Linked DNA regions of Cricetulus griseus. The protein of the gene in region 2 purifies or fractionates together with the protein of the main gene of each other region. This does not show direct contact. Links are inferred from orthologs where the notes say so. Each region holds a gene or a part of one and is shown on either strand. Other genes may lie near its edges.

The links.
Region 1: the proteins of Cops8 (region 2) and Cul4b purify together in Homo sapiens (affinity purification with mass spectrometry; 7 studies listed by BioGRID and IntAct, counting the BioPlex papers as one, with this or other methods). This does not show direct contact. The link is inferred for Cricetulus griseus from reciprocal best matches to the Homo sapiens genes COPS8 and CUL4B.
Region 3: the proteins of Cops8 (region 2) and Cops7a purify together in Homo sapiens (affinity purification with mass spectrometry; 11 studies listed by BioGRID and IntAct, counting the BioPlex papers as one, with this or other methods). This does not show direct contact. The link is inferred for Cricetulus griseus from reciprocal best matches to the Homo sapiens genes COPS8 and COPS7A.

The regions. Positions count from the first base shown.
Region 1 is NC_048604.1:28,546,917-28,552,906, reverse strand, and holds part of Cul4b (cullin-4B), read right to left. Parts: intron 5,550-5,990; coding exon 5,357-5,549; intron 4,442-5,356; coding exon 4,337-4,441; intron 3,149-4,336; coding exon 3,038-3,148; intron 2,223-3,037; coding exon 2,137-2,222; intron 776-2,136; coding exon 668-775; intron 1-667.
Region 2 is NC_048595.1:442,135,076-442,141,065, reverse strand, and holds part of Cops8 (COP9 signalosome complex subunit 8), read right to left. Parts: intron 5,063-5,990; coding exon 4,930-5,062; intron 1,239-4,929; coding exon 1,131-1,238; intron 140-1,130; coding exon 77-139; intron 1-76. UniProt on the Homo sapiens protein: Component of the COP9 signalosome complex (CSN), a complex involved in various cellular and developmental processes.
Region 3 is NC_048601.1:21,453,772-21,458,734, reverse strand, and holds part of Cops7a (COP9 signalosome complex subunit 7a), read right to left. Parts: intron 3,581-4,963; coding exon 3,505-3,580; intron 3,309-3,504; coding exon 3,220-3,308; intron 2,176-3,219; coding exon 1,973-2,175; intron 1,149-1,972; coding exon 1,043-1,148; intron 890-1,042; coding exon 738-889; intron 569-737; coding exon 529-568; 3' UTR 1-528.

The DNA of each region.
Region 1 (5,990 bases), on a different chromosome or scaffold from region 2:
GGTAAAAATCTACCCAATGTAACAGTGCTTGGCTATCTTTATACTTTCTTAGCTCTTCTGCCCTATTTAATCATTCCTTCCCCTCTGACATTCTACTGACTCCTTTCTCTCACTGCTGCTTCTGCACAAGTTTCTTTTGCTCTTCTTACACCTGCTAAATGTGAGCCCTTCTCAAGTTCAAGTTCTGCCCTTTCTCTTCATCTTCACCATATTCTTCCCTTACTGAGGGAAATCTACTCTCTGGGGCATCAATGCTACTTTCTATAGAGGACTCTCAGTATCTTTCTCTATTCAACCTTCTAGAGGCTTTGTTCCTGAGTAGGACAGTTTCTAAGACATTAGAGGACACTCATGTATCCATCATATTCACCAGTCCTGCCTTCAGGTGAAATATGGACAAGAGTTTTTGACAGTTAGGAAGATTAAGGGGTCATAAGCTAAGAAATAGAAGACTAATTGGGGAAAACAATACTGAATTTAGAGACCTACCTTCATTAATGTGCTCAAGTGGACTTGGAAATTGGAATAAAAGAATAAAATATTAACACTCATATTCTGTTGGTTTCTTTGCTGACATAAGCCTTTAAAAGGCACATATTTTCAAATGAAAAGCAGAAAATGTGTGATTTCTATCCCTATAGCTTAGGTCTGAAACAGTTAATCTTACCTCTGGTGGCAAATGGACTTCCATAGGCACATATGTTGGCCAGTAACCCATTGTCAGGATATTCACAGTTAATTCGATATTGCCAGGTACATTCTGGTTCTGCATATACTATAAAAAGATCAACACATACAATTAAGATCACAAAAGTGTACATGTCGCCAGGCATTGGTGGCGCACGCCTTTAATCCCAGCACTCTGGAGGCAGAGGCAGAGGCAGAGGCAGGTGGATCTCTGTGAGTTCGAGGCCAGCCTGGTCTCTAGAGCGAGTGTCAGGATAGGCTTCAAAGGTACACAGAGAAACCCTGTCTCCAAAAAACCAAAAAAAAAAGTGTACATATCATACCATAATGTTGACTTATTTAATAATTTCCTTATTCTAAAAATGTATGTGAATACTAACCATCCTGAAAATAAAGGCAATTAACTATTAAGACTTGAAACGAAGGTTACACAAAATGCAGTAGAAAAATAAATAGGTGGCTATTTTGATATAGTAGCATAAAAATCCTACAAAAACATCCTAGGCATTATTAACTCAACTTATCACATATACCTGGGCTGTTATAGCATCTCTTCTCCATTCTTTTACCCCAATGCTACCTGTAGTCCCCACCTTTGGAGACCCCTACATGAATTGGAACACCTTGCAGCAACTCCCATTCCTCACCCCACCAGCCAGCCCAAGTCTCAGGTTTTTCAACTGTTCCATTCCCTGTTTGAAGGTGGTGACCTGAAGTGGGAAAGGAAGAAGAAGGGGAAAGGGCAAGGAAGATAAACCCTATCCTGCAGCTAGTGACTCCTAACTTTCTCTAGGCCTTCAGTTCTACAGTGGTCAAGAAGTCATTAATGAAACTCTGAGAGTGTAACATGACATGTGCCATCATTATTGCCTAGGTGTTGCTACTGATGTCTAAGACAGGGTCTCAATCTATTGCCCATGTGTCATTATTTCAGCATCCAAAGTAGCTAAGACTACAGTTATAAAAACCGTATCTGGTTATGTTCTTAAAATATTTTAAAACAACCTTCTATCCATGTCTTCAGAACTACAGATCCAGCCTCTCATCCCAAATGTCCCCAGAGATATTATATACCACCCCCACCTTTTATCTCCTCACCTCTCCCATTACAAGCTCTGAACATACAAATCTTCCAACCAATTAGATGTCAAGAAACCCCAATCTTACTGTCTAGTTATAATTCTTCTTACACGAACTTTGGTCTCATGCATTTACTTATGTTTCAGTCTTATTCTAAGTGTTTGCTAAGACTAAATGCTGAAGGAGGTCAAACGCTCTTAAATTTACACACTGATGATCTGTTCCCTCTACTGTACCATTTAAGTTGCCATGAAGTTATTTGTAACAAATAGATGTTTCTATTTATCCTCTTCAATATGGACTGACACAAAGACATAACATAAATATCCTTAAGTTCAAGGAATTCCTAAGAGTTTAACTCACTTTTACCTGTTTGAACTGAATCATGATGTCTTTAGAAAGCTCCATGTCTTTAAACATCCCTTCAAGCTTGCTGGTGAACGCAGCTCCACATTCTATTAAAGATGTTCACATATTTGTAATATTTCAAGGTAGTACAAACAAAACATTTAATAATCAAAAAGGGCAAATCTTACTTGGCCATAAAATAAGACTATAACTATTGATAAGAATGAGAAGAAATTCTTACCCCCCAGTGTGTGCCCTACTAATTCAGAGGCAAACTCTTGAATCATATAGCAACCTTATCCACTTTCAGGTATATTTGGGAACTTTTTATACAAATAAACAGAATAATAATGCTTTATCTTTAAAACAAAAGCCAATGACTGTGGAAATCCAACAAGAAGCTAGGACCCTCATAAGCTCACTGAATTTATGGGTTTGTGTGTGTAGGGGGGTCAGGGAATGTATGTATAGATACGGGTATCCACTCATGCATGGAAAAGCCAGAGGACGTTGGCTAAACTGCTTTACCACATTCTGCTTTATTCCTTTGAAACAGGATATTTCATTGCATCAAGAGCTAGGCTGGCATCCAGGAAGCCCCAGAGATCCTCTTGTCTCCCACCCTCACCCAATCCCTAGAGCCACTGGGTTATACAAGTACACATGGCCTTTTTACATGGATGCAGGGGATTTAAACTCAGGCCCTCAAGCTTGCACAGCAAGGGCTCTTACCCACTGAGCCATCCTCCCCATCCCCTTAGTTTACTTTCCCATCATCTGTACCAGTACCATCATGTGCATATGAAATGATCGACAAAAGAAAGCCATCAATGAAAATAGTACAATGAACTCAACATTTCCCTCAAACATTAAAGAAAGGAAAATTTAAATAATAAACAAGGAAAGAAAACGGCAAACATACCATGTTTCAGTTTGGACAGCATTGACTTTTCAGCATCTACAGATGCACTCTTGCCAACTAATAGGCGTTTGGCTAAATCTTTCTTATAGAAGGCCTCAAAAACATCTTTGCCTGTATTAAATAAAAAATAGAACTCATGATATGCCAAGTAAAGTTGTAACAAAATGGCTTCAAAAAGCTTAATCACAGAACCTCAAGTTATTTTACTTTATACATTTTATCCAAGTTTATTAAACTCAAAAACACTAGAAGTCTATGTCTGTGCCAGACAATTCAAAATTCTTTACTATAAAAAATTTAAGACTGGGGCCGGGCGTTGGTGGTGCATGCCTTTAATCCCAGCACTCAGGAGGCAGAGGCAGGAAGAACTCTGAGTTCGAGGCCTGCCTGGTCTCCAGAGCAAGTGCCAGAATAGGCTCCAAAGCTACACAGAGAAACCCTGTCTCGAAAAAAAAAAAAATTAAGACTGTATTAACTTTTCTTCAGCCAAAAAAAAAAAAAAAAAAAAAACACTTTAGTACACAGGTACTGTTAGCACCAAAACTCAAGAGATTAAAATAATCAGCAAATTCCCAGGTTCATATTAGTGGAAAGGTCAAAGCATAAGGTAATTTAGTTACATTCCTCAACTATTCCTTTTTTCCACTTGGTTTTTTGATACAAGGTTTGTTGGCATAACAGACCTGGTTGTTCTGAAACTTGCTCTGTAGACCAAGCTGGCCTCCACCTCTCACAGAGATCTGCTTGCCTCTGCCTCCACAGTGCTGGGATTAAACGCATGCTCTATCACCGCCCGGCTTCCTCAACTATTCTTTTTTAAAATATTTATTTATTGTATGTATATGAGTAACCTGTCTTCACGAACACCAGAAGAGGACACCCGATCTCATTACAGATGGTTGTGAGCCACCATTTGGTTGCTGGGACTTGAACTCAGGACCTCTGGAAGAGCAGCTAGTGTTCCTAACCACTGAGTCTTTCTCCAGCCCCTTCCTCAACTATTCTTAAGGAATTAAAAATATGCAATAAATAAAATGCAACCTCTAGTTCCCTAACAGTCTCTCCAGGTTATATAAACATTTCTCATACATCTAGGAGTGCTTTATTTGTTTTGGTTTTTGTTTGTTTGGAGACAAGGCCTTGCTATGTTGTCCTAAGTTCGTCTGATACTCACCATATAATCTATAGAGCAATGCTGCCTCAGCCTCCCTAATTCTAGACTACAGGTATCTACCACTATGCCTGGCTCAGAGTGCTTTGTTTTAAAAGAAAAACATGAAAGCAGTAAGCAACAATTACCATAGATAAATCTAAATATAATCATTATTTTATCCAACATTTTCTCCAGCTCTTCGTCTGTAGCTTCTTTGTTGCCTGCACGAAGTTTTGAATCCACATACTTAGCTAAAATGGAGAAAAAAACATTGCTGTTTAGTGACCATGGGTGTCTACTCTCTTCAGTATGTCTATTATATGTACATGCATTTTATAAGTCTCCAATAAGAGAGATAAAGCTGTCAATGTCATGAGGATAATACATACTGCAGCCTAAAAGCATTAAGTCTGACTCAAGAGAGGAGAGAGATAAAATGAAGTCAGACGAGCTCATGGTGAAGACTCCAAGTAGCTCTGTGTAGAGGGTAAACAAAGTCACCAGAAAACATGGGTATCCTCTAAAGTTTGTATTTTACATAGATGGTCAGCATCCTTAAACATTACTTTTCTATTTGAACAAACCAGAAACAATAGAGCAGAAGGCACAATTTATAAAATGTTTAAATGCAAACAAAATTTGACTTTAACCAAACCTGACTTCATCCTTTTGGCAGAGGACCTAGCTCCCTAGGTACTAGTGCATGTGTAAGGAACCGTGAGAAGCACTGCAACACACCTGCATATTTAGTCAGCCTGTATCATTAGATTTATTTTCATCCTAGACTTTTTATTCCTTGTCATTTGGAAATTTCATGCTGGCCTTTTCCTGTATAACTGGAGACCTTTAGAAAATAGTGTTCTGCCCCATTTCTAAATCCCTATAGGCTTAGAAAGTACAAAATCAAGTTTACTCACTAAAAGTAAATGGGGTCCAATGTTCTATCTCACAAAGAATTTATGTCATGTTTGACATGAAGGCTTTGAGAAGGTGTTTAGCTTGAAGGAATTTATATATCTTACATACATGTCCTTAGAGACACTCTTTCAGACTTGGTATTAGTAGCTAAGCAACATCAAACAAACAAGACATAGGTATAATATGTTTTCACCTCAGAGTTTATCAATAAAAAAATTTCACAACCGGAAAAAGAATGTGCAACATACCTATGAGTTCAGCTGGTTTATTTGGTCTCTTATTAATGAATGTTTCAAATGCTTCTTTCATAGCATTGATAAATTTTTCATTTTTCAGGAAGCAGATATCAATTATATGATCAACTTTATCTTTAAAGTCCAACAGCTCCTGAACCATGGTTTTATCTTTTTCAGGGTTGATAACAATAGTACTTCCAAAAGCCTGCGAATGACAATGGTATAAGGAAAATAATCAACACATCATATTTTAACTTGGTACATGTATTTAGCAATCATAGAAAAGGCACAGCTGTCTCCGAAGTAAAGTAGAAAATACCTCAACAGATAATCTTCATTCATAAATACAAAAACTAATGATCACTGGTTATACGCTATCGTAAATGGGGTGTTATTATTACTCTAGAAGCTTCTTATTGTTAAGGAAGTCAGATCTGTACTTTTCAAAATAGGAATGTGGTGAGGAAGGGAGGGAAGGAAGGATTTGAGGTTCAAATTTGTAAGAATAGACCAAATGGCTGCAGAATGCCAACAATCATTGAATTTCCCATATTCACCGATTTAAATCTTAGAGCTAGATAGAAATCCCATCGAACACTGCCACACAGCTACTATTCGCAGGCTGATATTTCAATTTCTTTTTTAA
Region 2 (5,990 bases):
CAGAACAGGAGTCTCAAGCAGGTGACCTTCCATGTCATTCTGTTCTGATGTCCTTTGTCTCTGAGGATCCACCTACCTGGCTTCCTGGGAAGAACCATTCTTGTGGCAGAGTCGGCTTGCCATCCTTGTTCCAATACACCTGAAAGTGCAGAGTTCACATGCAGATGGGGAAGCGCACAAGTGCCCGCACGACCCACCCCTGCCACTCGGTCACCGCTGCAGTGCCACACTCAGTGGGTGTGTCTTTACTAGGAAGGTTACTACAGGGATCGTATAAACTTATTTTTGAAATATCCTGAAAATACTGAAAGCTTCCCTTTCCTCTCTGGGGCTGATATAATCACTGACATGCTTAGTGGTCTGTAGTAGTGACCTAATTAGTCTAATTCCAAATAGAAATAAGAAATGCCTATGACTATCAATCACTGTAAAACAATGTAACCAAGTGTTGTTGTCTGCTGCAGCTGTGGGTGATGAAACAGGAACCACTAACAAAACTCAACAAAAACCATGTGGAGCTTATAGGGAAAGGGAGAAAAGAGCAAAGGGAGGGGCAGGTGTTGGCCAACCGGGAACAGAGATGGAAGGGGAACAGGTGGGAGGTGTTCCCTTAAAAGAAGAAAGCTTGCACATGCTTACAGAGTCCTTACATTACCTGTATCCACAAAACACAGGGCCCTTTGAGCTAAGTATCTGCCTGAATGTCAGTGTGCATACCCTGACAGTTGCCCAGGGGTGGGGCAACACCAAGCACCCACAGTTCTACCTGTGGGTTAAGAGCTGCAAAAGGTACTTGGGCATGGCCGAGGGACTGGGGCAATGAACTAAAATGTACTGTGGAGGCAGGACTGTCTTTTAGAGCAGGGAAGGGCAAACCTGGGGGATTTGGTCAATTGAGAAGTGCTTTCTTAAGCAGCTATGCAAATGACTACACAGCTGCACAGGGACACTCCTGTGTTTGGTTACAGCTGAAACACGGAGGTGCTGGGTGACGTGGGCTTTGTTATCACTTCCTAAAAAAACCCTACCACCCAAATTCCCACCATTCTCCTAGAGTTCCAGAGGAGCAACAGTGAACCCAGGATTTGTGATTTCTGTTCCCCTGTAAGGAACCAGCAAGCTCCAAGTACCTTTCACAGCTTCTTCCACAGGAAGTCCAACAAAGGCTGCAAAATCATCTGCAATTATGGAGGTATAAGCTTGAGAGACCAGGGCGAAGGCGCGTCTCCTCGTTGCATCTATTGTGGGAGGGGAGGGTTGGCAGCAGGAACCAAGAAAAGAGGACTCTTAAACACAGTTCTGTCAACCGGTTTTTATTTACAGGCAAGACTAGACGCACCGCATGCCCAGAAGGTCTGAGGGACCCCATACTGAGTGAACACACACATTCCTCACATCAGATGCTGACAAAAGCCAGAGGTAGAAAACAACATCCGCAACCATAAGACCCCTATTTATTTATTTTTTTTTTTGAGACACGGTTTCTTTGGAGCCCATCCTGGCACCGAACTCACAGAGATCCGCCTGCCTCTGCCTCCCGAGTGCTGGGATTAAAGGTGTGTGCCACGCCGGGCTAAGACCCCAATCTTAAGAAGGCAAACATTTACGAATTTAGGTACAAACATTTTAAATTTCCTTTGCTCCATTTCACTTGCAAACACTAGCAGAATAGGTGAGAATACAGCTGCCCCTCTCGGGAGGGTATCCAGTACAGGATTCCTCCAATGCAGGAGCACAAACCTTATCCCCAGCACCTGTTTCTAACTTCAAGTGGGCACCAAGTCAGAACCCTGAACCCAAGCTTGAAGGTCTAACTCTCAAGAGAAGGTGCTGCCAGGCCCAGACATAAGATATCCCTGGAAACAGCCTTCCACATTTCCCCATGCTCACGTATGTATCTACATTAAGAAAATTACAGAATAAGACAAATGCCCCATCCAACCCAGCTAGTCCTCCTGTACAGTGCCCTTTTGGTAATAAAAGGCTCCTTCAGAAGGCTGCCAACCTGCTTCAGAAATAACCAGATTTTATAGTCTACAGTTGAGGCAACTGGACACATAAAACCAACCCCTTAACACACTGAAATTTCCCCTTTGCACTGTCAACCAAGGAACGCAGGTCCCTTCAGGCACCTTTTGCTCCAAACTAGTGCCCTTGGCCAGACTACTCTTCACACCTCACTCCTGAGCTCTGGGCCCCACTGTTAAAAGGTTGGAAACAACATTTCTTGCAGTACAACTGTGAACCTGGCTTGCTGACAGTAACCAAAATGGGGCATGCCTTCAACCACAAGCTTTTTCACAGCTCTGGAAAACTGCATATACAATGGACCTGGAAATGGCTTAGTGGGTAAAGGCGTTTGCTACCCAAGCCTGGAGCCCTGAGCTTGTCCCCTGTGCTCTGTAAAGGTGGAAGGAGAGAAACCTATGCCTGCTAGAAGCACACCATGGCAGTATGCGCAGTCTTCCACACACAGACAGCACGCCGACAGGAAGCCGCGCTCCATTTTCACCACTCCTCCTCTGTCTTTACACTTGCACTCTGCTTGAGACTACCAACCCCCAGGCAGACATTGAGAATGTCTCGGAGGCGCAGAAATTCCCCTATGAAGGAGTCAGACATTCAGTGGAAAAGAACCAAGGCAGCATGGCAAGAACATACATATAGAGTGTGCACCATAACCATCTCCCACCATTTAAAATCACTATCTTTAGTTCAAATATTCTGGTTAGACTTTTGGAGTAGGGAATAGACAGGAGCCACATGAGAAAAGCAGCAGGTTTGTGGAGAGGCAGGAGAGGGCTAACAAGAACGGAAGGACAGACAGAGGAGGGGCAGGAATAGGCTGATAATGGATGCAGAAATAAAGGCTCTGCATTCTAGTGCTGATCAGCAGCCACACATTGGTCTCCCAACTTGCTCTAGCTGTGGTCTCCCCACAGCTCTGGAATCAGGCCTGTTCTAGGGTCCAGTAATACTGTTCCCTCATCCCATCCCCTCAGGCTTTGGGTGAGAGTGACTGTTATGAACATCTACTCCCTCAGTGCTTTGCCAGCCCTTTCTGGCTTTCTGTAACAAACTGCTCTCCCATCAGGCTCTTTAGCCAAGAAAGCTCTAATTTCCTAATAGCACTGAGATGTTCAGACAGAAAGTCCGAATGTGGCACCTTTAACTAGAAAACAAATTTATAATACCCTAAAAAGCAAAGCATCAAACTCCGCAGAAATTCCAATCTGTTTTGAGACTGCCTTACCAGGCTGGCATTTTACAGATCATTTAGGAATCTGGAGATTTGTTAAGTCTCAAGAAAATCTTCATGGATTGAATAGAACAGCGTCTCAGGCTATGACCAGGGTTTACAAGTCAACTCTTCAGTTTTATTTCAAAACAATGAAATGAAGCTCAGCAGGTTGATGAGCCAAAATGAAAACTCAAATGCTTGGCTCCAGTGATCAAACTCCAACAAGCTACACTAGACAGAATGGGTGTCTGTGGGCTGGAAGCAACTCTTAATTTCACAGGGAATCCAGTGCAAGGTGGTACTAGGAAAAAATAAAACACACAGAATACTCACTGGATAAGTAGGGAGCCCATACCCAAGTCCTGACTGTGACCCTGCAGTCCAACACCTGGAAAAGGCAGCCTGCACTTACCAGGCTGACCCCAACCCTGCCAGTCCACTCTCCAGTGGCTCCTTCCAGGGATCTTGCCACGACAGCTCTCAAGCAACACGGCACCCATGTAACCTCACTCCACACTCCTCCCCCTGCCCGCGTCTACCCTCAAATTCGGCTCATGCTTATTCAAAGCATCTATTTCCTGCTTTGTCATTTACACTGTTCTGCTTTATGCTGACCAGGTACTACTGCAGAGAATGGACTGGTGCAGCTCTCCAGCCATCCTTACTCTCTGCTCCCTGGTACACCGAGTCCTTACCCTGCTGATGAGGACCTTTACATCAACATCAGTCCCCAACTGAAAGAATACACTAAAGGCAGGTAGTGACTGCAAGAGTGGAACAATGAAAGAGAGATCACTGTATGAATGTGTGTGATGAGGCCAGAATGCTAGAGTGGCTAAGAGTCTGTATATGTTCTGCTCTTTCAAGACCTGAATCTGGTTCCCAGCTCCCAAGCCCAGTGGCTCAGAAGTGCCAGTGAGTCTACCTCCAGAGGATCCAATGCTGTTGGCCAGCATGCGTGCAATGCACACGCACACACAAAGGCCAATAAAAAAACAGGAAAGAGTGACCCAGAAAGACTGGAAGCACAGGCAGGGAAGTGTGAGAAAGGAGGGAGGCAGGGACAGAGCTATTATGTGTCGGCACCACATCATACCAGGCCTCTAACCTTCCAAAACAATGAAAACAAACTTAGATTCTAAGCTTGTTCCTTTTATGAGATGTATACAGGGGACACACATCTATCAAAGGCCAAGGTTAACAAAATCCAAATTCTGTGGATTTTCAAGTACACAGACTTAAAAAAATCTTGACCCACCTACACCATCGACTTTACGTTACTGCCTAGTTTCATTTTAACAACAAAGAACCCTTTCACAAGGCCACATGTGTGGTACATACCAGTAATCCAAGGAATAAAGGACAGAATGGGCTACTCAGCGAGAACCCTGTCATAACCTTCCTGTCTCCACAAAAATAGTGACAAAGAGGATAAAAGATATTGCCAATGGAATAACTGCAATCTGGAATCAACAGTGACACCCTCCACTCCTGCCATGTCCCCCAGAATCCCCAGTAATGAGATGAAGAATCACAATTAACACAGATCTAGGTCAAGCCTGAAAAGCACCCACAAATCACAACTGTCTTCTTCAAAAGTATACACTGACACAGCACAGCACTACACCTCCAAGGACTCCAAGGACAGGCTTAGTGCCACGTGACTTTGAACCACAAAGAAACATTACCTCTAAGGGCTTCCATGATTGGCTGCACAGTCTCCGACCACTGGTGGGCATTGATGGTGGTATAGATCCCGGGGAAATCTCTCTGCCAGATTCGCTGTCCTACTGACCAAATCCCCCCAAGTTCAGAATTTGCCTGCAATAAATATTGTTGCCTTTGAAGGAATTCGCTCTGAAAATAATAATGACTGTATCTTCAAACAAAATCTCAGAAATGACACAAAACTTGTTAGCTGTATCATTAAAACACACACTATTGGTTTTAGGAGCTGCAATTACTTTTCTAACAGGAGTGTCCAATCTGCAGCCCACAGGGCCAAGAACAGGTATGAACTGTGAAACCTTTTTCTTTTTTGTAACTTGCGTGCCCAGTTCCAGACTCTGAACTTTGCAGGTGATAGAATGGTTTTGCAATGTCCAAAGGTTGGAGCTGACTAAAAGGCTGTGAGCAGTAATGTCAACAAAATTTCTACAATTAATGTTTTTACTACAATCACAAAGCATGTGAAAGTAAAAAAAAAAGTTTCTGGGGACCAATTATCTTAAGCACTGCCATTTAAACCTAAGATGCTGACATTTCTTCAGTTAGAACAAGACCACCAAAAGCTGGTTAGCAAGGCAATGTCCATGCAGAGCCTATGTGCAGAGCTCCCGTTCACATCAGCTCAGCGGATCCCACTCACACCACCTGCTGCTTCTCCCTCTTGCTTCACTCTTACAAGCAGCAGTTCAGGGTAAGAGAGAAAAGTGAAATAAAATCCTTCTTCATTCTACTCGGCAAGGAACTTTTCTCAGGTTATTGCATTTAATCTCCCACCCCAAGTAAGAAATTTTAATTAACAAAGTGATCTTCATGCAATGATTATTCATGTAAATAATGCCAGTTTCCAAACAAGGTCATTATAGGAAACCAAGTAGTCTGCTGAAATCCCCAGCCCTCAGTTGCCACCTGCATCTGAAATGGTCAGCTGTGAACCAGCTGACCCACAGGGCAAGGCAGGCCTCACAAAACCTCATCAGTACACTAACAAGATTTCCACACCATTCTATTGGAGAAACCTGAA
Region 3 (4,963 bases), on a different chromosome or scaffold from region 2:
CAAGAAACAACTGTAGTGTGATGGGATTCTGGGATGAAAAGTGTTCAGCGACTCCCAGAATGGCAGACTGGCTCCAGAACTCTAAGGCTGGGATGAAGGTGGAGGACACCCTTCCCAATAGCTTTTCAGGTGCAGCCCAATAGGCACAGGGAAGGAGGAACTGCAGGTTAGGCATGCAGGGGTGGGCGTGGTAGAGAACACCTGTGGGTGGCGAAGAGAAAGCACCCTCCATAGGACTGCCAACCTGGTTGATGACGTGGGTAATGGGCAGACACAGTGCCGAGTGAAGATGAGAGCAAGCGTGTCAGGGAAGAGAGGCAATGGAACACATAACAAGTACCAACAAGACGTGACCTGGACTGGCCTTCTCCCTATAGGGGATGTGGCTTATGCTTGGGGGTGGAGGAGATGAAAAGTCATGAGCTAGGATTATCAGCTGGCCAGGGGCACAGAAGGCTCTGAGGACTCCTAAGGGGTAGGCAGGTAGGCAGCTGGGACCCCACATTCCCAGGGAAGAAACAAGTCCTTTCAGTTCGACTTGGACCAAATCTTGGCGCTCCCTCGGAGTCTGGCAAGGGGAAGAGAGAGAGAGGGGATGCAAGGGGTCCCCTAATTCCTGGAGGACACCCCCATTCCCGACCCCATGCACATGACTAAAGCAAGTGGAGCAGCCAGGCTGAGGCCCCTGAGGTAAATGTGGGGTACCCAGAAGCAAGCGGCTCCCCGCACGGGCTCACCCCTTGCCCTTTGAGGCTTTCTTGCTGGGCTGGCGCTGGTTGGTGCCAGGAGCTGGTTCTCTCAGCTCGGTCAGGTGTTGTTCTGGATCCTGAGAAGTGGCTGCAGCAGCTGCCGCTGTTGTAACTTTAATGGTTTTTTTAAGGTTGGCAACCTATCAGGATGAAAGGAATGGCAGATAGCAAAGTAGGTCCAGAACCTGACAGATCCTGATTATCTTATCAGTTTGCCTCAGCCACATCCAGCACGTGCACAGGCCAGGAGCCCAGGGCAGTAGCTGTAGCTGACCTGTTCCCTACCTGCTTACCTCACTCTCGATCTGTTGCTTCAGGCCCAGCTGTTGCTCCTTGTGCTGGTTGGCACGGCTGACTTGCTCCTCGATGCCGGACAGCACGACCTCACAGCCTACACACCTGTGGGAATCAGAGCAGATGAAGTGTTAGCAGAAGAGGCCTGTGATCATAAACTCCTAAAAACAAAACAAAACCTCAAAAGCAAGCCTCCAAGCTGGACTCGAAACCCCTGCCAAGGCTGGGAGCCCTCACCAGGCACCCGGGAACCAGCTACAACAGTATTTTCATCAGCAAACCCCCTGGAGTAGGAGAAGGAAGGGATAAGGGAGTAGCTGAGTGACACACACAGCGTGGGTGGGGCTGGGCGCTGTTGGGGAAATGGCTCAGTGGTAAAGAAGATGCATTGCTCTTCCAGAGAGCCTGAGTTTGGTTCCCAGCACCCACACCAGGCAGCTCACAACCACCAGCTCCAGTGGGATCTGACGCCTCTAGCCTCTGTGAGTACCTGCCTTCACCTGCACCCCTCTACCACACACACAAACACGAGTGCCAGGCACGGTGGTGTGTAACTGTGCATGCCTGTAATCTCAATACTGGGAGGCAGAGGCAGAAGGATTTTGAGTTCAAAGCCAGCCTGGGATACAAAGTGAGGTCACAATGAAGTTATAGGGATACAAAGAAGAAATTGGAAGAGAGACCCATGGCCCATGTGTTATGTGCCTATGACAGTGACAAACCTCCCATGAAGAACCCCCAAGAACCCCAATTACTGCTCCAACAATCCTGCCTCTTAGCACCCAGCATCTCCTTCAAGCTTGTTCCCTCAGAAGCTTCCAGAGCAAAGTACTGGTTTCTTTCTCTCCAATTGGACTAACCCTCTGCAGCCCAATCCCTGCTCTCTCCTGCTCACATAAGGGGATGGTTAAGGCCTGACAAGTTCTCACCACTCCTGCAGGGTTCGGGCAATGGCACTGAGGTCCTGGCGCTGGATGTCTCTCCCGATGCTGTAGTCAACCTCCAGCCGCTGATTGCGCTGGTCCAGGGAGCCCCGCAGGATATCTGCATACACGGCCTCGATCACAAGGTCTTCCAGCTGGCGCACGTTACGAAGGGCAAGGGCCTCCAGCAACACTGCATATGGGATACACTGGGTCCAGGGTCAGACCAGGGTTTGTGGGGCTCAAAAGCAGAGGACTTTCCATATCCTCCTCCCTCTTTTCCCCACTGCTGAGTCCCACAGGTCCTCCATTCCTATCTCTAAACCATTTCCCAGGAAATGTTAGTTCTAAAGCAAACGTATCACCACCTCAAAACATCATCAGAAAAGGACAATCCTTCCTTCTTTTTCCTTTTCTTTAATGTACTCTGACCCAGGCTCTTATTCTATAGCCCAGGCTGGCTTGAACCTCACTATGTAGTCCAGGCTAGACTTGATCTTACACTAATCCTTCTGTCTCAGCCTCCCAAGTGTTGGATTACATAAGACATGACCCCAGACTCAAAAAGACACTCTTAACACACAGAGATGCTACCCTACTATGCCCCACTTGCCCCAGCACAGTGAAAGAGTGCGACATCTTCCTGGGCCATTTCTTTGGCAGTAGCTAAGGATATTGTATTACATCAGCTTGACATCAGAGGACTATACATAGGAGGGGTCTGGAGTTACTCTGTTTAACACTTGGACTTAGCCAAGTTACAAACTGGCCTCACCTTTGAGGCCTCCTCAATTGTGAGTCTGATCCCAACAAAAGTCACCAGGACTCAATTCTAGCTAATGCCTGGGAGAGTGAAGACTAGGAACACGTGGTGTAGTGTAACAAAAAGCTGGGCCCACAGGGACACAGACACTTCTGAGGTACACATTATGTCTTATTGTAGCACACAAGCCTGGCAGTTCCAGGGGAAGAACCCCATTTCTAGCTCTGAGGCTTTGTTGTCCTGGGACTCTGTATGGTGAATGAACGAGGATTATCAGGATCCCAGTATCTATTTTGACACCAAACACAAAAGATGGTAACTTAGAACTTAGGTTCAAACTGAGAAACTACAGCCTCCATGACTGCAGTAATGGAGTTTCAGTTCAGACCTAGACAGAGTGAGGTCAACAGCTGTCCTGGTGGAGACTCCCAGTGACAAACAATAGGCAGTCTCTGGCTTTGGACTGGTAGGCGGCAGGACTGTCACTTACCTTGACTTTGGCAGCCAGAGTGACAACTGAGAGATGCCGAAGCTTATTCTTCTGAGCCTCGGTAAGTGGGGGAAGATTCCTGGCTTCAGCTAGGGAAGGGGACAGAAGCCCAGGCATCTTATTTTTAGCAGTTTCTTACAAGTTTTCTGCACCAATTACGGTCTTAGATTGCCCAGAGGTTCACTTACGCCATCTAAGTGGGGCACCCCAGAAATTTCTTCCAAGTCTCTCCAGAAACCACCCTTCCCCTGTCTCCATAGCTCCACAGCTCCAGCCCCCATTTACCTAAGTAGTCAGCATAGGTCCCATAGGCAAACACTGTGAGCAGCCGGAAGGTGGAGGCAAAGTCGCTTTCTGCCAACTGCAAGAACATCAGGGAAGTGACAAGAAGGAGCTATTTGAACTCAACTTTCTGACCCATCCTCCCAAGAGTACCTATCCTGGTTCACCAAAAGGCCTTCTATACATTTCCGAGCATACACTGTTGCTGAGGGCTCACTCCTACCTCGAGCTCTTTTGTTATGCTATGCATCAAATTCCTACTCTAAATCAGGGGTGTTTGGTGTATCATACACACACATCAGATATTGTAAGTTAGTTTGGCTCTCAGAGGGCACAGAATTTGTGGCCTCTGCTTCTGACTGTCCTCAGTGAGGTGGTCTTACATCATCCACCAGTATCTCGAATCACCGCTCACTCATCCTGGCATATCAGACATGCAGCATCTCACCTAACTAACAATAGTTTTTAATAAGGCCAGAGACCCAGCATCCATTAGCCTACAAGGATGCAGCAGAATTGCAGCCCTCAAACTAAACTCTTGCTAAATAACTGTCTTCCACAGTTTCATCCATTTATCTGATCTCTTTAACTGAATACAAGCTTGAAGGGCAAACCTGTAGCCTTATATTTTGCAGAATACTAAACACTGTAAGGCAATTAGAAAATGTTTCTTCTACTTATCTTAAAACTATACTTTAGTTCACTGTAGATAAAATCAGGAACAAAAGATAGCGCCAGTTTTCTATAAACGGCAACCCAAAACACATTATATCCTCTAATTCAACCAGAGGCCTCTTAAAACTCGGCTCAGTTTAGCCACACTACTGTTAGCCTCTCAGGACAGAGGCCAGTGACACAGTGTTGGCCATCCATTTGCTCTATACTTCAAGCTCTTGACTGGCCATTTGTTATTGATGCTCTTTGCTGTGTTCATAGCAGTTTACCATTGTCTTTGGGAAGAAGACATTGTCTTCATTATCTACCATAAACGAATTTGTATATTCGACACTTGGGGAGGTAACATAGCATGATAATATGCTCATCTTTACATTTTTAGGAGGCTTTAGACTTTCCCATAATTTTACTTCTGTAATTGTTGAGAGGCAGTACTTTTTTCCTTTTTGCAGTTCTGAGAATCAAGCTATAGAGAGCCTTGCATGCTATAGACAAGGGCTCTTTCACTGAGCTACATCCCTACTCCTTTTTGAGATGGACTCTAAGTTGCATAGGCTGGCCCAATATTTGTGATCCCCCGCCTTAGCATCCCAAGTTCTGAAAAGGACCCCGAGGCCCCACGAATGCTAGGCAAGCACTCTTATCAACTGAGTCATGTTCCAGTTTCTCATCACCATTTTTAGGAGAAAAGTGAGCCTTTTAATAAGGTTTCTCTGATCAAGGTGACATTTTTTTTTTCTTTTTGTTTTGTTTTGAGACAGGGTTTCTCTGTAGCTTTGGAACCTGT